Neodiprion lecontei: one gene and its partners. The protein of the gene in region 1 binds, or shares a complex with, the protein of each later gene. Links are inferred from orthologs where the notes say so. Each region holds a gene or a part of one and is shown in the gene's direction. Other genes may lie near its edges. The genes, in order: mitotic spindle assembly checkpoint protein MAD2A, mitotic spindle assembly checkpoint protein MAD1 and MAD2L1-binding protein.

Region 1 (6,909 bases):
CCACGGAGCGCTTATCCTGGAAGTCGAGAAATTTTATTAGCGGACTGACAGCTACTGAATATGGGCTTGCGCGAGAAACGAATTGAAATAATTTATTGTAAACATGAACCAGGAACCACGGAGCGCTTATCCTGGAAGTCGAGAAATTTTATTAGCGGACTGACAGCTACTGAATTTGGGCTTGCGCGAAAAACGAATTGAAATAATTTATTGTAAACATGAACGAGGAGCCACGGAGCGCTTATCCTGGAAGCCGAGTTTTACCGCGTAGCGGACCCGAAGCGCGGGATCCGGAAGGTTGAGAACCCGGTACTCCAAATACGTAGCGGACCCGAAGCGCGGGATCCGGGAGGTTGAGAACCCGGTACTCGAAATTTGCGGAGCGCGACTCTCATCCGTCCGCTCTACTGCGCGGTTGTTTCCCGACTGAGGAATTCGGCTAGCTGATTTTGAATTGGTGACGTCACTTTCTGAACATCCGACATCCAAACTATGGTTTCGAACTTTGATACTATGTATGATGATGTATGATGTACGATGTATGATGTATGATGTATGATGTATGATGTATGATGTATGATGATATGATATGATGTATAATGATTTTAGCTTTCACATTTCATACAAGAAATACGCACTTTATCTCTCCTGCCGATTCCAGACTCAAGCGGCCAGGCCCTTCGATCGTCAGCCGTTGACTGAAGATGTATTCTTCAGTGAACGGGTCGGCTAATAACGCTGCCGTTCTGCGACAGTTGGATGATGAAAAATTTCGCTCGTATCTTTCAAATGTGTGTTAAAATACACTCGAAGTGTTAAGAAGCGTCGTTCTTTCTCTCCCTATCACCTTTCTAGGTCTTTAAATCACTACGCAGCGTTAAATACTGTCTCATATACGGAGCATCCATTTCATATCGATCAAAATTAGCGCATCCATGATGTATTACACTTACTCTGAATTTTTTCCCATATGTTCACTTTTTGAAAAACAATTCTGCTTCTCTACCCAACGTAGGTATTTCACTTGCGACTAGCTAATACAGCGTTTCGATTCCATGCCTACGAAAATTCAAGACCGAAAGATCATATGAAAAGTTGTCGGAATAATTATGAATATTAATATTATGGAATACATGGTGGAGCAGGAGGACCAGGAGGACGAAGGTGGTTAGGGATGTTCGGAAATGGTAGCCGGTGGTAGGCGCAGGTAGGTGGTGGTAGGGGTTGGTAGAAGGTGGTCGGGGATAATAGTAGGTGGTCGGTTGTTGCCGGAAGTGGTAAGTGGCGGCAGGGGGTGGTACGAGGTGGACGGAGATGGTAGGAAGTGTTTGGAGGTGGTTGGAAGTGATCGGCGGTTGTCGTGAAAGACGACGAAGACGCGGACGACGCGCCGTGGTGCGGAGGAGGAGGACGGCGTCGAGGTGGACAAGGAGCACGAAGGTGGTCGGAGGTGGGAGAAGGTGGTTGACGGTCATTGGTGGTGCTCGGTGGTTGTATGGTAGTTGTCGGCGGACGCGGTTTCGCGTCTTCTCACGGGGATGATCGAGCCGATCGACATTTTTAAGTCGCAGTCGACAAGTAGTCTTGCGTACTCACTTTGTACCGACTCAATCTCATGCTGCCATACCGACACTACTTCGGCTGTTACGAATGTCGGTGCGAGCCCGTTGGGTAGAGTCGATAGAGCAGAACCCTCCTACGCTCCCAGGCCTACCTGCGCCCATTTGCCCGCCGAAAACTGGTCACCAAATTTTACCCAGGGGTATCCGTCATTACATTCTTCAGTCAACGGATCCGTGGCTTGATCGACATTAATCATGTAGAGAGTCTGCCGTCTTGTACCTTGTACGCTATGGATACCAAAGGTTGGGTGTTGCGATTGGCTGACAGGAACGGTGAGGGGTTCGAAGTTGCCTCATGAGCTACGATTGGTGCATTTGAAAAGCTACCCGTGATTGTTTCTAACCTCATGAAAGTATTGTTTGGTTAATTCGGCTGATGTGTGGAGGCTTGCAGTAGCTAGTTTTATTATTGTCGGCTGCGACGGTGATTGGGCCCGTCTCTCATAATGACAGAAACGCAACAAAAATCGAAATGTATTACTCTAAAGGGTTCCGCGGAGTTAGTCGCTGAATACTTGCGTGAGTATCTGAACTCATCTTTTAACAAAAACTGTCACTTTCCAGCTCTTTGTTTTGGATTTCATTTACTGTTGAACCGTATTATAACGACTCGGAATCGTTGCATTATTACAGATTTCGGGATCAACAGTATACTTTATCAGCGGGGTATATATCCACCGGAAACATTCGAACCGGCGGAACATTTTGGTTTGTCAATCCTTGTCTCTACGGATGAAAAGATAAAATCTTTCTTAAACACTGTCCTCGGTCAAATCGAAGAATGGTTACTACAAAAGAAAGTACAAAAGGTAACGCTTGTCATAACTAATGTAAACACTAAAGAGGTACTTGAGAAATGGGATTTCAAAGTTGATTACGAAGGATCAACTCCAAATGGCACCGCCACCGGCAACAAAAATATAAACCACTCAGAAGTTGGTACAAAGGATACGAAGACCATTCAAAAAGAGATCCGCGAAGTGATACGTCAGATAACAGGAACAGTCAGTTTTTTGCCGCTACTCGATTGTCTCTGCTCCTTTGATATACTGACATACACAGTTCCTGATTGTAATATACCCACCGAATGGGATGAAACCCAGCCAGTATTTATCGCCAACAGCCAGGAAGTGCAACTCAGGACTTTCTCTACATCCATTCATAAGATGCAGACCATAGTTAGCTATAAAAACGATTGATACCAATGATACAGTACGCTTTCGTACACAAGTGCTTATTATTGTAATTTTTATTCTTCATATTCATTCAATTGTAATTATACTCTTTCAATTGCATCATATTTTGTATTAGACTGTAATGGTCTCCTTGATTGATTAAGGACAACAATAATTTTTCAAATAAATGTTTTTATATACTCTCATTTACTTTTCTCTCTCCTCTTTTCATACCTAACCTCACGGAATTCCTGATGTAGTATTTATTTCAAAGAGCTAGAAGACACTGGTTTTGGATGTTCTGAATTTCTACTGATTAGGCACAGATCACAGCATACTGAAGTTGATGTACATTCACGATTTCCTAATCAATTCATTATTTTAAGACTTATTTGTATTTTTGTTTAGCTACTTCGTTGTGTAGATCAGTCTTGCCAATAAGACTCACGGTCGCTACTCTCCTTTTTTTATATCACACTTTTAACGAGATAGTTTTGGCTGCATAATCACTACTCATATTCCTGATATTCATTGTGCGCAGTTTGTGGAAATCACTTGAAATCATTCGTAACCATCTTCGATCCATCGAACAAGGTATAAAGAATTGTTCCAAATGATTCACTCTGACAACAAAGTCGATGATAAATTCGGGAAACATTGAAACATGATCTGAATTAAAAGTTTATGAATTCTGTTAAAGTGTACAGCACCAAAAAATTGAGTAACTCGATATAACTTCATTTCGTATGCGAATTAATACCTACAGTAATCATTAATATAATATAGTTCTTCTGAAATTTTATGAATCTACTATTTCCATTAGTGAGAAATAAATTTGTCACCGAGTAGTAAGTGAGTTTATTTGAGTGTGATTATAACAAAGTAATTATAATGTACCTATTGTAACGTTTTATTATCACTGCATTGTCACAAATTTGGGCAGTAGAACCACCAAAGCTGCGTTCTATAACTTATCACAGATTCGGATAGATTAGCTACAGTCGCCACATCCCTTCACAGAACTGGCAATAGAGTACCGAGTCTGTCGTGCCTAAACTGTAGTGTACGAGTTTGTCATGCACAATGCAAAAATGTCACAAATATTGATATTAAAGAAATTATAAAAAAAATTGTATAAACTAAATTTAAAATCTATCAACTAATTGGTTAGCGTTCTCTGTGTGTAAGTTACGAAATTTTTATACCTTGAAATTTCACCAAATACAAATATTTCTCTAAGGTATGCGAAATTTTCCAATTGCAAATAACTATTTTTCATTGGGAAATTGTGTAATTTTTAATATTGATTGAAATTATCGGAATCATCTAATTTGATTAAAATTCCTTCACGAAGTAATCGATGTTTTGATTTTTATTTCCTACATTGCCCATCCCTACGACAAGTCAGCCAAGCGCTTCGCTATGTAAGTTACTGTTATCGGGTGTTGATCAGTCTGAATTTATACCGAAAATTCAATTCGATCTGACTTCAGAAAAAAGGATTATATCTTGGTTGGGTTATGTTCAACCGTCGGTATCGTAGAGCCCTGCGTTGTTGATTGCTTTGTCGCGTTGACGCTGATTATTGGTAATTTGGTACACACACCCAGCTGTAAAGCTGGATATGTTACACTGTAATTATATTTACAATTAGTTTGGGAAGCAAAGATGATAAAGGTTGATTAGATAAGTGAGCAGGTCTTACCTGATTTTATTAGAACTTAATTATAGTTGTTACACTTGACACAGGAATTAGATATATTATTACAGTAAAGCAATTAGGACTAGAATAAATAATAAATATATTTATATGTATACAACGTATTTGACTAAAGTTTGAACAGTACATCAGCAACGTTTCGTTGTAAGAATTCATTACAGCCTAATTCGATCGCGACGTTACATGTATACATCCACTGTAATAATAACAGTTATACAACAAACAACTGAAAGCGAATGCTGCAAGCGTGAATTTGATTACAGGTATAATTCTTGTATCCTCGGACGGAGGGGATGTGAAATAAAGTACCTCAACGACCAAGAAAAAGAAATGAAGAAAGAATCACGGCAGTCGAATCATTTTTGGAAATAATTCAACCGCTGACGTAACAAATGCGAGCACTCGTATTTACGTCGTATATTAAGGGGCTGCTTCATTAGCTCACTTAGCTCTGATCTGTTATCGTTAAGCAATGTAATAAATAAGTTTATTAATGCGTATAGGTATTACATTGTACCCTATGAAAGCCTGCTGCCGCTCGTCGATTATTATTTGTTATAACAATTATTTAATTCCATAACTACGTAATTATCATATCGTCTTACCGGTTTAGAGATCATCAGGAAACATCAACTTATGCTTTATATTGTTATATAATGTGCTGCAGTACTGTATATTATTATATACCCTACATCGTAAGGATTACAGAATGACAACCTATAAAGTAACTTAATTTTAACGAGAATCAGAATATCGATATCAATATTGGTGCGGCTAGAGACAGCTCTATAATGTTTTATGTGCACATTTTCAAAAATATACTAACTAAAGGCCAAATATTCGCAAGTTAATCGTACACGCGCACAGTTCTGTTTCTCGAGTCTCATTTAAATTCACTATAACTGATTCTCGACAATATTATGCATACTTGTGAACATGTATACAATATTATATTTACGGTAAAGCAGCCTATTTACAGGTGAATTGAACAGGTCGTATCACCTGATTCATGACAATATTTGTTTGTGATTTATTTCAATGACAATTGCGATAGTAATTGTTATTATTACTGGCACGTACACGGTCACTTGTTAAAAAATATTACCGCAGTATTATACCGATGTTGAGAATTTCTTTTTGTTATTGATCGTGTTTTATATTATAGATTTTCAATTAAGACGTAAGGCCTCTCTACGCGAACTTTGTAGGTACCTATATAATTTTTCGATAACCGATTAACCGTTGAAAAATGAAATGCAGCTACTATTCTCTGCTGGATGAAAATCCATACGATTTATATCCAGGTGAAATATACATGTATATATATAATATACAATATATATAATATATGATGTATAGATTGTATAATATACATATACGTGTAGTCTTGTGGACACAGTTAAAGCTGCATAATGAAGTTCGTTTCGTACAAATTATATTACTGATCCAATTAGCCTTGCAGCTACGTAACGAACATATATAATATATATTGTAACAATAAATTTGTCTAATTTCATTATATATATTATATAGGTATAATATTGTTAAATTAGGAATAGCTTTACACTTCGCTTGAAGTTAAGTAATATTTATATTATTTTGTGAAATATTGAACTACGAATTGCTTCCCTATTATATTAAATGTATACTTAACTTTATATATATTATATATATTTATTATACATATATGTGTTTGTATATGGTATCGTATAAATACGTTCCTAGTACAAACATTGAAAAATGAATAACGAGAAACGGTACACAATATTTTACACAGCGCTTTATAACTAGATAGTTATAGATATTTATCTAATGCATCGGTTCAGCAGCTGTAATTCTATTCTACATTTCAGCTGATTCTGGCACCACTTTTGGTGTATTTTATCATTGGTTATGATTTTGCCTAGTTTTACCCAGGGATGTGTCAAATCATCGTAATGACCCTAACATCAAGAAGGTCAATCGGATAGAATTACAGCTCTGTAATAACTCCTTACACATACTGGCATTATATATTTATAAAGTACATAATAGTATACGTGATATTATTAATTATATCATGTTCGTTACGAATCGCGATTAATTTATAAGTATCTGCCTTATAATTATTTACCTACGTTCGATTTTAATATTATCTTAGTACTACTTTTGAATTTTTTAATAAACAACTTATTCTCTTATTGTTATACAATCCCACGATGCTCTTCAATTTTAGGACATAGGTACAGATAATTGCTGTTTCTTGAGAGCCGTGGTTATACAACCGTTGTAGTATAAACGGGTTATTATAGTCCACCATTATAATCAATGCCTGTATTTATTATTTTTATTGTTATTATTATTGTTATTATTATTATACCATAAAATATTTTTACTTTTCGCTGACCGCGTG
Region 2 (8,563 bases), on another chromosome or scaffold:
TAGCACCAGCAGTGGTATCCATTACGCTATCATCTGCCTCTTCTGCTTGATCTTCATCATCTTCATCGTCATCTTCTTCCTCAACTTCTATTTCCAGTATACGAATTTTACGGTTGCTCTCACTAAGAATTGCAGCCACTTTCCGGGCTCCACTTACAGCCAAACGACTCGCCGCTATTCCTTGAACAGGTTTTGGCCAAGTTCCACCAGAAAGTTCAACCACTTCACTAATACCCATATTCTCTCTAGTATCAAATGTGAAAACATGGCCAAGAGGCAGCTGCACGAAATACGACGAATGTATGTGATGATCCAGAATGAGCAGACTTAAATAATCTTGCGAATAAAATTGCAAGTCTCCTATCAAACTACTACTGCTAGCAGAGATATCTTTTGTATCGCAACCTGTAAAAAGTTACATAACATGATAGTACAACCATGATTTGAATGTTGTAACGATGATTTAATTTTTATTTGCTTCGTCTACCTTGTCGTCGATCCGCGTCAATGCTTGCACTTTTGACTGTTAAAGAGTTTTCAGTACCCGGATTTTGGACGACCTTAAACATCTGTAAAGTTTTTCCATTCAGGTCTGAGAAAGCAAGCAGTAAATCCTTCTCAGATGTGACAAACTGTGAATGCAACGATGAGTAAGAAATGGTCGACACAGCTGGTAAGCTCACGACTGTAGGAATGAAGAGATTCACTAGCCCCTGGTAAGCCTGACCAAACACGACGCTTATCGCGTCAACCAATTTCGCATTAGATTGTAGCAAGGACAGCGACAGGTCTTGCCTAACCAATAGCGGATGGTTTTGTAAACAGACATTCTCGCTGAGCATAGCAGCCCATTCACTACCATCGGGGGTTAAGCATGTCCGAAGAGGTTCTTTTCGTAAGTACTGACCGAGTTTTTCAAGATTTACACCTTTCCTAGCACCTTCTTTATCTCCAACTTGATCAAACCCACGTAAAAATTCAGCTATAAAAGTCAAGTCCTGTTGACTAACTCTGCTGACTTCAGGTGGCGCCCGTTCGCCAGTCAATTTGAGTATAACAACATATAGCCATCTGAAAAGCACAACAATTCTGTAACAAATAAACGATTCGTAAATTTTTTTCTACCCACCGAAAAAATGCTTTGTAATCACGCATACTATGATCGATGACTTGTTGTATTTCAGATGCTTTGGCAAGAAAAGCTTCCGATGCCCGAAGAGCCTCGTCAATTACACTTTCGGAAGTAAATCCCAGGGCTTCGTATTGTCCACCAAGTTTGGCCATTCCAGTCATTTCAGCCAGCTGGTATGTCAGTGCCATTCCGACGCTGCTAAGATGCTTTAGGACTAATTTCTGCACAAAAAGATTGAGAACTAATTAGAATATCTTTAGTTATTCCCAAGAAGTAAACGAACCTGAATATTACTGTAGCACATTTCAATGCTATGTCCTAATTTCTTCAACCCTTTTTCAGTCAGGTCTCTCAAGAGGAAATTTTCCAAATTCGCAGAGGGAATGCCGATCATAAGAAGGTCCAAAAAATCTGCAGCCACTGCTCCAGGAGGGTTGGCCTCAGCGTAACGAGACAATTTCTCATCCATTTCCAAGAGAATTGTTTCCCATGCTTCGGAAATAGCCATCAGCGTACGATCGAGGTAGTCCATCAGATATTCAATATTAGCTTGAGCTTGCGCTACCTTTTAGAAACAGACGCAACTTTCAGCACTGCCACCTTAATTTTAAGGCTACAAAAAAGTATAGATGAAGTGAAACTCACTTTTAAAAATGCTCCATTACTTTCCAAAAGTGGACAACACAGATGAACAACACTAATGTTTTCCAAGGATCGCAGACTGACCCAAATTGGCCCCCCTGAACCACCGTTGATTTCCTGTACGGAACCTGGCCCTATGCTTAATGTACCACAATTAAACATCCCAAAGACATACATAGCAACAGTGCCTGCTTCAGTTCCAAGCTGTAAAAAATTGAGCACATTGTAAATTACATTGCATTTTATCCTCGACTATTGTCTATTTATGATTCATACGTGTGAATAAATGAGTAATTAAAATGAGACATAACAAAGAGAAATGAATTTGTAAGAAATTTTAATCTTCTATGTATTTTAGCATTCATTTCTTGACACACTTACAAATAACATGTCCAAGGTTTGGGATAAGCTTTCCTTGTGCTCAGGCTCATGCCCAAAACTTCTGTTCAAGCTCGGCAAAGGTGGAAGATATTCTCCAGTTGACGAGGAACAAGTTTTGATTCCAGTTCCGCATTTTTCAGCCTCTTGAATGCCCAATGGTAGCCAGGACAAAGTTGTAACAATTGCCTGTGAACTTTGTTGAGTTTTATGAAGGATATTCTTGTTTTCAACATCAACAAGATGTATGAGATTTGATTCTTTATAAACAACAGCAATGAGCTTTCCGTTTGGTCTCCAAGTCAGATCCTGAACCAAATCTGTTGCTTCAGGCGGGGGTAAAAGCCAGACACGCTGCCACGTGAGCCTATGAAGTGCTATTTCCCCTGAAAAATGCGAATCATCGAAAGTAAGGATAACGATACTCTCTCTCATTTATTGTCGGCGTTTTACCACTTCATAAACAACGCATATCGTACTAACCTCTCATGTTAGCTATAGCCAACAGATCCATTTTTGGTGACCATCGCATCAAAGTCAACTCCACCGACAATTGTCGCTCCTCCAGTTGTCTTATAGCACACGACATATTTTCTTATTTTTAAACGATATATTATACGAGTTCGATTATTATAAGATCCGTCAGTTGGACCGGCCGCTTAGTGCAGTTTTGCAAGCAAACTTGTATGTAGTGTTGCCAAGTGCAGAGTAAACGATCTCGCTATCTCAGAATCAAAACCTCTAGAAATCCCTAGATGTTACAAACGCATAAGGCCCTAGTGAGCTCTATCTCTGTCAGTTCAGCTATGCCGGTCAGGATTACCGTTGGGTTTACCATGGATTTAGCCAATGGCGGCGTTTCGTCGGCATTAATGTAAAGCTGGCAAAACGGCCTGTGCTTCTCGCAGGGCTGCTCGTATACGTGTGAATGTGTGTTTGAATTGTTTGAAAATAACTATAAACATATTTATCCGTATAGGATAGTTGAAACACGTAAGTTACGGTAGCATTTGACGATTTTTCTACGAAGCTACAGAACTGAGTCAGTGTTGATACAGCATCTGAATCGACCCTCAAGAGGTTACCTTTTCGTAAACAACCCCTGAAACTTTTCAGAATTCCAAATCATGGGTGACGACGATCCAACCTGTGTTGTCAAAATGATCAAGGATCTGCGATCAGGTTCTGGAGGCTATCAACGCAATAGCCTAACGTCTTCCGGGTTACGGTTGTCCTCGGCGTCTTACATTCCCTCTTCTTCTATCATCAGTGACATCGATAATGATGATAGCAAACGTACCCCAAAACGACCTAGACTAGATGAAACGAATACCAGTCTTAACAGATCTAGTCTGGATGGCGCACCTGGAAGTCCATGGGAATGGAGAAGGTTGAGGGGAGAGGTAATTGTTGCAAAAAAATGTTACTTGAAAACTAAAGGAATGCGTTAAATATCGATGACTTTTGTCATACGAAGCATTTCCCTTTGCACAAGCTTACCACTCGTATACTTATGTAGGTAATTTCGTTGCGAACAAGACTGTCGCACCAAGAGGCCACAGTGGATCAGCTCCATGGTGTTAGAAGGCAAATGGAACAAGTCTTTGACAAGCAAAAAAAATTGTTTGAAATGCAGGCTGAACAAGATAAACAGTCAATAAAACTGCTAGAAGCTAGATTGGACATGGCTCGGCAAACAACACAAGAAGCTATAGAGGCCCAGACTAATGCTGAAAGAGAGACTGCCCTGGTAATGTGAAAACTTTGAAAATTTTCACGTAACTTCTAATACACTGTTTGTTCGTGGTTTATTTTCTGCAAGAATTTCGAAGAATGGAGAATAAAGAAACAGAAATAATGTTGCAATATATTACATGCTTTTACAATTTTGCTTTACTATGTTTTTGCTTAGGTGAAGATGAAACTAGATCAGAAAACCCTTGCATTGATGAATGACAATGCAAGACTTCAGGATGAAACTAGACAAGCCAACAGCCAGCATCGGCAGCAAATCCCACCAAGTGATTGTAATGAGGATGTAACAGAAATAACACAGAAACTCGAAGCTACTGAGAAGAGAATTCTACAACTAGAAGAGAGCCTCAGAGAGGCCAGAAGTGGCCAGCAGAAGAGTGAATTGCTGGAATTAGAAGTACAAAATTTGAAGATGAAAATTGAAAAGTTAGAATCTGAACGATCGCTATGTGAGGAGGGCAAAGCAATGGCGGCCAGAGCTGCACGTGCTAGTGATCTAGAGCGAGAACTTCATGCTGCCAATAAACAGGTTTCTACTTTGCGAGAATCGGTAAAAGGAAAGTTGCTACTCGAAGAACAAATCTGCAGCATGCAACAAAGGTAAGAAAAAAGTTTTCAAATAGCAATCTTGCCGATAAACTATGACAGGAGTTCATCAATCTAGATTTGTAAATAATGTGAACTTGCCATCAGGGTTCAGCATACAGAGAAGTTGGAGCTGCGAATTGCAAACCTCGAAGCACAGCGGGCGGAGCTACTGTCACAAATTAGGGAGTATGAGTCGATTGGTATTACTGGTGGACCACTAGCGCTAAAAAAAGAATTACAACGTTTGCAACAAACGGAACTGATCTTAACAGCCGAAGAAGGTCAATTAAAGTCAAAGATGGAATCTGCTCAGAGAGAATGTCAAAACCTTAGTAAAAAGTACGAGGAAGCTAAGACGATAGCAAACGATATGACAGGTGTCAGGGAAAAATTGAACAAATTGGTTAGCAGGCTACAAAAGAAAATGATGCTAGTTACCCGAGAACGAGACAGTTACAGACAGCAACTCGACTTGTACGAAAAGGAAATGACCGTTGATGGCCATAGTGTACTTACCGAACGAGTACCAGCTTTGGAACGAGCCATAGACGGATACAGGTAGATATGAAAACATTGTCCTCTCTCTACTTCACGTGTATTGATTTTTTATTTCTTTTTTTCTACACAAGAGAAAATTTCTAATATTATTTACATACCTTAATTGCGAAATACTATTCCACTTTCAGGGAGCTTGTCAGCAAATTAGAGTCAGATTTAGAAGCTGCCGATGATTGTGTGCAGAAGGGTCAGTGCCAAAAGTTACGAGAAGAGATCGAGAGACTCAAGGGTGAGCTAGAACACAGAGCTCTAAAAGGAGATTTCAATTGCAATGCAAGGATCCTTCACTTCAAGATGAATCCAGCCGCTCTAGCAGAGAGACAGGCGGACGAAAAGTACGAAGCTCTTCTACGAGAGGTCGAGGAACTCAGAGCTAGAACGGCCTCTGGCACTTTGAATCTGGGACCCGTAGGATCATCTGTTCAAGCTCAAGGTAAAGAATTCTTTACAAAAAAAGAGTAACAAAAATACATTCACCAATGCCTTGGCTCGAATATATCAATTGTTTGCTCATATCCAAACGGGTAATTCTCAATCGTTGTTACAGAAATTGCCGAGCTCAAGCAGACTCATGAGATCAAGATCACTCGCCTGAAAGAAGCATTCAAGGCGGCTTCGCAGGAGTACCGCCAGGCCTGCTATCAGCTTTTTGGATGGCGAGTCGACAGGACAAAGGAGGGACGGTACAAGCTATCGAGTCAGTACGCAGAGTCGCCGGACGACTTTCTATTCTTCCAAGTTGGCGAGGAAGGCGTTGATCTTTTGGAAACCGATTTTTCCGCAACTCTCGGTAGCCTCATAGAGTGTCACCTACAGAGACAGCACAGTGTCCCGATGTTTATAAATGCCGTTCAAACGGAACTTTTCTCTCAACAGACCGCTGCGACTGTGACAAGCTGAACTTATCCTTACATGAATATTACAATAACTGAAAATAAACCAATTCATTAAGAGCTGTCGATTGTTGCGATTTGAAAATGACGAGTCAACTCTTTAAATATGTAACTCGTACCCAGCTTTAAGCCCTTGTACGTACGACTAAATACTTTAACAAACTTTTAGTATGGTATAAAAGTATCGTGAAAATACATCTGAGATTCCATAATCGATATCTATAATTATGATTGATATTATTACTTTTCATATAAATCATATAATTACTTTTTGTTTAAAGCAAATGGATATTTAATTAGTAAATAATTTAGAGCTGAATTGCCATTCGCTTTTTATTTTTACAAATTTCGACACATTGTTCTGATTTGTGATCCGAATGATAAAGAACATTGTTTGCAGAACGGTTTGTTTTACACAGATTCATATTGCACGATTAACTTGCATTCAAATTAAAATTTTAAATGATTTGAATTAATTAGCTCCGTACAAATTAACAAATCCCAAGTCCAGTTGAGCGTTAAACGAGTCCAAAATTAAACGCACCTCAACAGCCGTGGAAAATAATCTCTGCAGTCACGCGGTATCTCCAATTAACTCCGAACGTGACGGTAAAGTATGGCAAACAACAACTAGGGTTGTATCTATTATATGTTTTACGGTTTCTATTCAGTTTTAACGTTTAATTTCAAAATTCTTGTATAAATCTTCAACTTTTAACCAACCGATTAAATCCCACGAGACGAATTTTTATTTTTTTTTCTATAAATCCCCAATAATATAACAACAGTAAAAACTGACGGAAAATAAAAGCATGAAACTCCGGACCGATAAATTGTTACGAAACATACGTAATTGATGAAAACTCGACTCGTCGCGTCGGAGGGGCAATATCAATCCGAACCCCATAACCGTCACGTAAGGTTCGTCCCATTCGATCCGACGATTAGTATAATACGTGGTAATTATCTCTAGACATAGGTGGAGAGAACCGGCCAAGATCTATGGGCACATAACAGTCTCGTAGTACTTGGGACAGGGTGATAATTTGTGCCGGGCGAAGAAGAAGTAGAGGTTCGTTGAGGAGAAGGAAGGGCGATTACGGAACCCCGGTTATATACACATGCCCATAATGTATATGGTACATAATACGGAGATACATAGCCGGGCACAGAGGTTCGCTCTATCGGTCGGCGGCGGCGAGCAGCACCCCCGCAGGACACGGGGTAAAATAAGGAAAGGCTGGTGCGGCCGCCCTCGGATCCGCTTCATTCGGGAGCTCCGAAGGGCTAAACTCCATTATCGCTAATTATAATCACGTTTAATCGCAAACTCGTCCTCTCTACCCTGCCCGGCGTCGCCCTCCTCTTCCACCCCCCATATTCGACGACCGCTTTCGTACACAGAGACGCAGGACGACGCGACGTGTATGTGCTCACCCCGAGACCTCGTGCCCGGCGTCGCTCAGTCCTGATTATCAATCTGGACTCTCTCGCCCTCCCTTCCTCTCTCGCTTACGCCCCGCTTTTCGCCCCTCGCTGAGCCTACGTCGAGGAGCCACTCGGCGTAGTTATATACTCCAGAGATACTCCAGGTGTCCGGCGCACGTAGAGACAGACGCAAAAGGGCTGCTGGGGCGGTGGAAAAAGGACTCGAAGAAAACGCGTTTATTTCTACCGTCTTCCGAGAGGCCCGCAAAGTACCTCGAGCTTTTGTGCGGTGTACGTATGCATGCGTGTACGTGTTCACGCGTGTTTGTGTGTGTGGCTTATACGTATACCTCTGCCTGTATGACACACACGATTGCCGTTCCACACTGGCGTGTATCGGTGTGCATGGAGAACGGACAATGGTTCGGGGGTTTCTCATACATCGTTTAAACTTATTCCCGTTCAACCCATCGTGCACCTTTCTACCTACAGCCAATTTCATATAATCTTCATACCTTTGCCCCGGCCCCAATTTGAGTCCGAATCAAATCTCCTCGCCCAGGATCGATATTCCGCAAATTATTGACGATCAACTGCAATGCGGTTTATACTTACCTTGACTTCTACACAGCTATATTTACACCAGCTAAACAACCGTCGCGTTTCAATGCACTTTACACGGCTTGACTCGTTCAGACATGCGTTTAATACATGCACGAGTACCCGCCGACAAAGGCAATTCGGTATAGGCATGTACTTGACAGGCGTTTTCCATGAAAGTTGACGAAGCAACGCCGGCGGATAGATAACCGAAACCACGTTTTTAAAATCAGTTACTTAATATCACTTCTGAGAACAATATCCGACGCGCACTCTTATCAGTCCGGTTACAGACGTAGAATGCAGCGCCGGCTGTCTATCCGAAAACGAAGACGATACAAAGATTATAAACGAGACTAGACGCGGCGAAAAGTAGTAATAGAACCGTTGTTCGTTACAACACGCGAGGAGCGTAGGGTCTGCGTCTTAAAACGAAGGGTACCGACATTCGAAATGCGCTAATTTACCCCCGGACGCAAGGGTGCGTGCACGATTATACGTGCCGCATGAAGCGTCTGAAAATCAGACCCCGGAGTGAGGGATTGGAGGATGATGAGGGTGGTTTTCGGGGGTGGCGGATCACCTGGCG
Region 3 (7,326 bases), on another chromosome or scaffold:
GCATAATATTAAGGTCAGGTTGGAGCAATATTTCAAGTAATTAATTAAGGAACGGAAATTTTTCAGGGAGAGACTCACCGCACGGTCTACCAAACTTGGCGATAGGTACAATATGATGCCCTATAATCTTAACAATGTCGCCTCCATGCAAGGTGGTGAACAATTCCCCGTTACGTGAGGTAAAAGATTCAGGGCCCTTTAGTTTCCCTTCAAACAGAATTTCGGCATCATCCAGTCTGTTGTTCAATTTCAGGGCATCTGTTAGGAACTGCTGCGGTGGCGATATACTGCAAAGGGACGACAAGTTGTAACAGAGACCGAGTGGCATATTCCTCATAAACTTTAGTCTTACTTTTGATTCATTGGGGATGTACAATTTTTTGTAGTCAAGTAATGTTTCTCTTCACAACGCATTTCAAGTAGTCAACTCAGCACAGTCAATTAATACGAAAATTACATAAAGCACAAAAACTGTTCGTTTCAGAAATACTGTGAGTGAAAATCTCATGAAATTCTACCATGTGGCACATAGAATTCAAAGCTCTTATAAAGAATAAGCTCTGATATGTGGGCTCTCAACGCAAGCGGTATGAATAATTGCATTTGAAGTAATGAAATCAGTACTTGAACCCATGAAACTTTGAGAAACAACTGTCGAGTATGTAGAACACAGGTTTAAAAGGATGTGTAATGTGACAAGCTTTTCGGTATGTCCAGAAATATTATTTCACGGCTTGAAGGACACGAATTGGAACTAGAAAACCTTTTGCTTCCTGGGCAACTGCTCTCACTACTGAGCTACTCGAGCTCCCGCTAAACACCGTTCCAAACTGCTACCCAAACAGCGAGACATGCCGCGTTACAACTCCCCCGCTCCTAGGGGCAATGTACCGATGAGAGAATACAAACTGCAAATCGCAAAATCTGCATCTCGCAGCCTCTACACTCTTCCGATGAGTTTGTTTTTGTTGAGAGCGAGAAATGCCACGTCACAGGGTAAATTCAAGAACAATTTTATGTTACGTTTTTTGCAAAGAGGATAAAAACATAAGTGATATGCAAGCTTGTCTATATTGCAGGGAATAACACGATTCATGGATCTCAAGCGTCTGAAAATAATATTTCTTACAATTAGTCTCCTTGCCCAGTATCAGAGTGAATTAGGTTAAAACAGCAGAAGCATTGTGAATCTTTGGTAAAGCTGACCCCAGACACAAATAGTAAGTACTAGCCCATAAGAGTTGGTGCAAAGAATCAATCACCTTCAGCAGCTTCAAGGAGTCCGCTTCACCAAACATTCACAATATTTAAGAAACAGTGACAAATCTATAGAAAGGATGCCGGGTGGAATGTGGTTAGCAATCTGCAATATAATCATCTCATTCAATTTTCCATTGTGTACCTACTTGTATTCAGCAAACTGTGCATCTGGTGGTAGGCCAGGTAGGAAAGTGATGAGCGCCAGAAATAATCCAATATAGATGAATGTGGTGCCTATAGACTTTAGGTAACCCATTGTCGTAACCTGGGATAAAACAAAACGCATGTATCAGAAATGTTATGCTGCTAATGTAACATAGTGCAATACATTTAAGAAATAGTACAGATCTGAAATAACTCAGCGGATGTTTCAATAATAAGATGTATCCCGTGTATATCCCTTGTAACAGATCCTTATATGGCATGCTGTCAATGCATGCATCAACATACGCACAACTCTTACCACTGAACATTTGCCCACAATCGCACAGGTGTTGGCACCAGACGGTGGCCATAGGGCTTGGAAGGGTCTCTTACTAGACATTCACCATATAAAGCAAGCTAAAGTCACTGAAATTGTGTCTACTATAACCTGGCATACAAAAACATTATATTTCCACTGTAGCGAATGAGAATTACTGATAGCGCTTTCCACAAATATTGAGGAGTAACTGATTTTCTTTTATCTATCGCACTTCTTCTTCTTGCGAATAGTCTACACTTTCAGTTGGAGTAAGTGAAAGCTGCTGGGAGCTACTTGAAGGATCATAATTGATCGTAGATAAAGTATGCAATACAACAGCAATAAGACGTGTTTAAAAAATGCGTATCACGCGATAATGAATTTGGATTGAAATACTCACCTTAGATATGCCTAGAAAAAAGACGATGAACTATGTCGCACAACGATTATAACATAATGAATGCTTTCAGGTAATCAAAGGAATTATGTATACTTCTTGTCGAATTCCAATAGAGCGGGTTGAAGAAATTCTCTGGGTACTGTTGTTTTTATAATGATGTATAAAATAATTTGTAAAACAAATTATCAAAATGAGCGCGAAATAACAGAACACCCGACAGGGGTAATAAGTTTGTTCGTATGAAATGTGAATATTTAGCTGACCCAAGCAGGTATACCTAAGATATCGCCGGATACTTCCAACTTGCCGCGTCACGCACGGCAACATAACGGTCACAGGTAAAAAAAAAAAAAAAAAAAAAACAATCAAGCATAATTGTGTTGCTACGCGTACAGCGACAATTTTTATATAGTTGAAATTAAGTTGGAACCTAAATGCGATTTTGGAGCAAGATATTTCTAAGAAAACGGCATTATCGTGGATTCGGTAGAAACACCGAGGGTCAAGTATAAAAATTATTACCAGTCTCAGAACGGTGCTAAGGATGTACGATGAGTGATTTTTCACGTTCACAGTTGATCACGAATGACGGTTAACGACTGTTGAATTTTTGGGTTCGTTGACTTGGCCAATCCTATCCTCTTTGGATTTCGCTGGACTTTGCCCACACATCACCACAGGTCGACAACACCGCAGGTATGGAAGATATAACTTCAATGGAATACATCCTAGGTAGATGTACCGTAAACCTCAAGAGCATTCGTTGGAAACTGTATTTCAGTCGTTGAAAACCGGTGTCAAAATGAACGAAGCCACCTGACTGGCCATCTGACTGAAGAGAATGAGGGAAGGAGAGAAAGAGAGAGAGAGAGAGAGAGAGAGAGAGAGGGAGAGAGAGAGAGGAGAAAACGAGAATGAGGAAGCAAGAGAGCTGATACAACTGGCGAGAAAGGGAGATCACTAGAGTCTTTCTGGTAGTATCTGGCAAGCGCGACTCCATGATGCGGCAAAGTAGCGCGCATTTTGAAAATATACTGCGCGTACGCGCAGGAATTCACCATTGGTAAGTTTACCAACTCTCGAAAGTTTGTAGTAAAAACGGGTTAAACGATTCCGAAACTCCATAGAAACTCCACGTATTATTCGGATTATTTCGAGTGAGTGCGAACGGTGCACTTAGCCAATTCTCGATGGGTGAACAACTGTGATGGGGACGCTTCTGTTGCAGGAAGAGAGAGCACATTGTCTAACTACGTTCCTCTCCCTCGCCCTCATTGGGGGACATTATCGGGCGTTGCGGCACTCTTTCAGCGCCGATGCATTCTCCATGTGCATACATATTATTATTTCATTCCTCGCTATTATCATAGCGAATAAAAGTTGTATCAGTATAAGACATCTATTCGAATGTGTGCGTTGTGTGATGAACACTGATTTGTTACGTATTGGCGTCATATTGGACCGACGACTGATTTCGGACTGATTTACGATTTACGAAGCCGTAGATAACCCATACACGACCTAGGTACACGACTGGTCGAAGTAATTGACGAAAATGCTGGGGCGAAAAAAAATCGAGGAGTTAGAAGTGTGTGTGAAACTGGACGAACCTTTAACTAGTGACTCGTGTTGCAAATTAATTTTGGAGCTGGTCAAATATCTGTTGTATCAAAAGCAACAGATTCCGGTGAGCTACGAGTATTTACTGCGACTGGGAGCTTCGTCGGTAGGAGTCAACGACAGGAGTTTGGCAACGGCGAGAGCAACATTGAGTTGCCTGGAGAATATTTCGGAACATTTAAATACCGAATTATGTTGCGAGAGTTCAGCGGTAAAGGAAATCTTTATATCAATGGGCGCGACAATACTTGCTCCAAAATTCTGCCTTCGAGTGAGCCTTCCCCCAGAAATACTCAGTGGACAGTGCCATTTCAAGCAGCAGCATTCCCCTCGTAAGCCACTGTTGAACCTCATGAGGTACGACACTGCGATCCCCCTTCTTATCTATCACCTGCTTATGGTCTATCTTTCATGTTATTATTTTTCCCAGATCCATAACGGAGAGCGTAGATTTTCAAGAAGCTATGGCGTTGCCTTTGATGCCCACGAATACGTTTTTCCTCTTGCAAAAGAGAGATTGCAACAAGGTGTCGGAATTCTTTGTGCCTAAACCACGTTACGCGATAACTAATGCGACGGCAGGAAGTCGTTTACACCTAAAGCTGTCCCATAAAAGTCATGAAATGTGGAATTGCAATTGCAAGAATACAGTAAGCGTATATCGAGATCGAGATGCTTCGTATTCGGAATTGGCACCTAGTCAGAACACAGCCGGACACCGCAGTACTGAAAAAATATTTGAAGGAGGCCAAGACAGTATTTACCAATGGTATCAGTCCAGAGACATTATCAAAGGCTTCAAGTTTTCTCGGTGATGCAATCATTGTTTTTTGTTCACCCTTCTGGCAAAACTTTATTGTTTATTATATCATCCAGGCTGATAAATGATTAGCTGATTATTTAGTTCGTATAATTGATGAAATGGTTATAACCTTGAGCATCAGATGTCGATTTTTATGGACAATCGCTGAGCACTTTCTCAGTTGTGTAATGTTTTATATCTATTAAGCCATTTATGTAAATACGCAATTGAATATGTCCAGTCTTGCTGCAAATGAATTTGAAAAGCCAATCGAAAACACGAAATTCAACAGCCATGTTTGCGGCCTGACCCCAGGTAAAACAGTAAACACTGACTGAGCAAAATGGAATAACCATTCAGTTCTGTGAATCGATCAAGCTTTTACTTTGTATAGATTGAACAATTATTAACTTCGTTCGGAAGATTGCTTGAAATTGAAGGATTTTCGTTGTCACGAGGCAAGATGGTACGTTACGTAAAACGTTGTGTCGAAATTTTCCATTACATGCATTCAACGTCAGTAAATTATAATTTACGATCTTGACGTCCGCAGCATCTATCAGAGATGTGCCGTTCAATACCATCTACCAAAATGTATTTGGTCTTGAAGGGGTCAAGGGCCGTACCGCTGATAGGCTTGTTTCGCTTGATAACCCTCTTAACTTGGCGCTACGGTGTTCAGGTCACTGACTATTGGATCATCTCGGTTATTGCATCAGCCGTTTGGCAAGTGGCATCTACTTGAATTGACCAAGCTTTGCGCGTGGCCCGCTCGCTTACAACCTATTACAAATTACACATACCGACAGGTTTACGGTTTTGCTTCCTGTGTATTCGCGAAACGACGTTTATAAGAAATGATAATTTTTTCCATCAAAGCTAGTACGTAACTAGGGAAAAGAACCAAAGAAATCATCACGATGAGACGCAACAAGGCCTATCTCTCCCGTCCGGTCAAATGTCTGCTTGTCAAACTGGCTGTTTACGTAAGCAGCACAGCTGAATTGAGAGATAACAATATTGCACAACTGTGCGAAAAATGTTTCTTGCGTTATATAAAAAATTGATATGTAAGCTTGACTATCACTGGGCATTGGCAAATGCGGTTTCAAAAACAAGTAAGGAAAAACGAGGAATTGAATATAGAGAGAGGGACTGACAATGGTAGAAGCAGTGGGGTGATATGCGTTAAAGTAACGGCCCAGCTAGTAGAAATCCTCAGTTCGAATCCTGTTGCTGCAAACTGTGCTGGTCGTCAGTTCGTTACGCAATGGGTGTTTTAAAATATCTGAAGCCTGAGGACAAGGAGTTTTATGAGAAAAATGGATTCATCAAGCTGAGTGGAATATTCAGCGAGGCCGAGATGGAAGAGATTTCTCAAGAATACAACGAGCTTTTCGAGCGCAAGACCAGAGAGAATCTGGAGGGACTGGAATCCGCATGGAGCGGGGATAGGGTGAAGCAAGAGGCTGGGTTTATTGATTATACGGTTTGTACATCATAACGTTTTTGCTTAGCCTTAATTTTCCGAGCACTTGTATTATCTACGTGTATCTCTCCGGTGCTCCACTTTTAACGATCGAGTAATTCTATGTTTCAATGGGCTTGCTAACAGGTGAAGGCGATCCACAACTTACAAATGCACAGTTCCGTTTTCACCAGAGTGATAATGAATTCAAAGTTGCTAGATGCCATGGAAGATGTGCTGGGTACTCCAGATGTCTTGTTGCATCACACCAAGGCGCACATAAAGCCCCCTGAGAATGGAGCACCTTATCTGATGCATCAAGACTATCCCTACTTTCCCTTCAAAAATCACACCATGGTAGCTGTATTTTTACACCTGGATGATACGACTCCGGAGAATGGAGGCTTAGCAGTTTATCCAGGAAGTCATAAACTTGGACCTCTGGCTGACAAAGGTATAACGGATGAGCAGGGTGAACAATATCACTGGGTAGATCAAAACAAATGGCCATTGAAGGGTGCGACCCCTATCTCGGCGAAGAAGGGGGAAGTAATCGTTTTCTCTTACCTCCTCCTTCACGGATCATATTTGAATCTCTCCGACCGTGCTCGAAGGATGTTCCTTTTACAACTCAGAGCCGCAGATGATGAACCTACGAGAGCATGTCATCAATCACCGGCACAAAATCTTGTCCTGCGTGGTAGGAATGTACATCGCAGCGCAAACATGGCCACGCGATTCGCTGACTAATTCACGAACTTTTATATTTATTCGCTTTTCTGTACCGCCAATATCTTGCTCATTTTTTGCCTGTCTATGTGATTGGTATAACTGGATTGTTTTTCGCAACAGTTGTATGTAATCTATGTAACATGTGTACGCCATGTGCGTGTAGTGTTGATAATTTTAAATAAAATACCCGAGGCCTTGGCAGCAAGAAACATCAAACGTCTCCATGCCGTTCCCAGTGTTCTCAATCTGTCATTGCTTGTACGCCGACTGATAATAGCAGTTTTATATGCACACAATTGTACGCATCATATGTTAAAGTAAGTAATTGTGCAAGAATATCTGCTTGAGAAAGCACAACAAACTCTGCCTGAGTTTTACTATATACCAGCGCCAACCACTCCCGCATGATTATTACAACTAATTAGTATGGATGAATATAGGTCATACAACTCTTATCCTTTCACGTTATCATTGGCAATTTCACCTTTTCCATTATACTTTCCCAATTACTCTTCGGTCTGTTACGTATGAAATATTCTCAGATTTTTTGAGGTATTGTGAAATCTTGAAAAATTTTTGCT

The links.
Region 2: the proteins of mitotic spindle assembly checkpoint protein MAD2A (region 1) and mitotic spindle assembly checkpoint protein MAD1 are in contact, whole or in part, in a crystal structure (PDB 1GO4), measured with the Homo sapiens proteins. The link is inferred for Neodiprion lecontei from reciprocal best matches to the Homo sapiens genes MAD2L1 and MAD1L1. Residues at the interface, in NP_002349.1 of Homo sapiens: Tyr38, Leu61, Tyr64, Asn67, Val68, Trp75, Gln82, Lys83, Ser89, Ile91, Glu92, Ser93, Gly94, Arg99, Gln101, Ser150, Phe151, Asp152, Leu153, Leu154, Ile155, Tyr156, Thr157, Asp158, Lys159, Asp160, Leu161, Val163, Lys166, Trp167; in NP_001013858.1 of Homo sapiens: Glu527, Arg528, Ala530, Leu531, Gln532, Gly533, Asp534, Tyr535, Gln537, Ser538, Arg539, Thr540, Lys541, Val542, Leu543, His544, Met545, Ser546, Leu547, Asn548, Pro549, Thr550, Ala553, Arg554, Leu557.
Region 3: the proteins of mitotic spindle assembly checkpoint protein MAD2A (region 1) and MAD2L1-binding protein are in contact, whole or in part, in a crystal structure (PDB 2QYF), measured with the Homo sapiens proteins. The link is inferred for Neodiprion lecontei from reciprocal best matches to the Homo sapiens genes MAD2L1 and MAD2L1BP. Residues at the interface, in NP_002349.1 of Homo sapiens: Tyr33, Arg45, Thr52, Leu54, Lys122, Asp126, Glu127, Arg129, Ser130, Arg133, Gln134, Thr136, Ala137, Thr138, Thr140, Phe141, Leu142, Leu144, Glu179, Val181, Arg182, Leu183, Arg184, Tyr199, Asp205; in NP_055443.1 of Homo sapiens: Pro61, His79, Tyr82, Gln83, Gln85, Pro88, Leu89, Pro90, Gln93, His96, Ala185, Leu187, Arg188, Phe191, Arg192, Phe195, Asp198, Ala199, Phe200, Ser201, Glu202, Leu203, Gln204, Ala205.

What each region holds. Positions count from the first base shown.
Region 1 is NC_060260.1:24,016,517-24,023,425, reverse strand, and holds mitotic spindle assembly checkpoint protein MAD2A, read left to right. Parts: upstream 1-1,881; 5' UTR 1,882-2,068; coding exon 2,069-2,141; intron 2,142-2,255; coding exon 2,256-2,821; 3' UTR 2,822-3,003; downstream 3,004-6,909. UniProt on the Homo sapiens protein: Component of the spindle-assembly checkpoint that prevents the onset of anaphase until all chromosomes are properly aligned at the metaphase plate.
Region 2 is NC_060265.1:6,132,899-6,141,461, forward strand, and holds mitotic spindle assembly checkpoint protein MAD1, read left to right. Parts: upstream 1-2,965; 5' UTR 2,966-3,145; intron 3,146-3,268; 5' UTR 3,269-3,279; coding exon 3,280-3,555; intron 3,556-3,671; coding exon 3,672-3,902; intron 3,903-4,064; coding exon 4,065-4,507; intron 4,508-4,600; coding exon 4,601-5,053; intron 5,054-5,181; coding exon 5,182-5,486; intron 5,487-5,600; coding exon 5,601-5,953; 3' UTR 5,954-6,006; downstream 6,007-8,563. Other genes in the region: uncharacterized protein LOC124295044, read left to right, coding at 658-673, 767-895, 1,185-1,305, 1,475-1,655, 1,808-1,876. UniProt on the Homo sapiens protein: Component of the spindle-assembly checkpoint that prevents the onset of anaphase until all chromosomes are properly aligned at the metaphase plate.
Region 3 is NC_060266.1:98,080-105,405, forward strand, and holds MAD2L1-binding protein, read left to right. Parts: upstream 1-3,041; 5' UTR 3,042-3,186; intron 3,187-3,351; 5' UTR 3,352-3,678; coding exon 3,679-4,100; intron 4,101-4,173; coding exon 4,174-4,558; 3' UTR 4,559-4,822; downstream 4,823-7,326. Other genes in the region: adipocyte plasma membrane-associated protein, read right to left, coding at 79-287, 1,407-1,516; probable alpha-ketoglutarate-dependent hypophosphite dioxygenase, read left to right, coding at 5,816-6,034, 6,161-6,763. UniProt on the Homo sapiens protein: May function to silence the spindle checkpoint and allow mitosis to proceed through anaphase by binding MAD2L1 after it has become dissociated from the MAD2L1-CDC20 complex.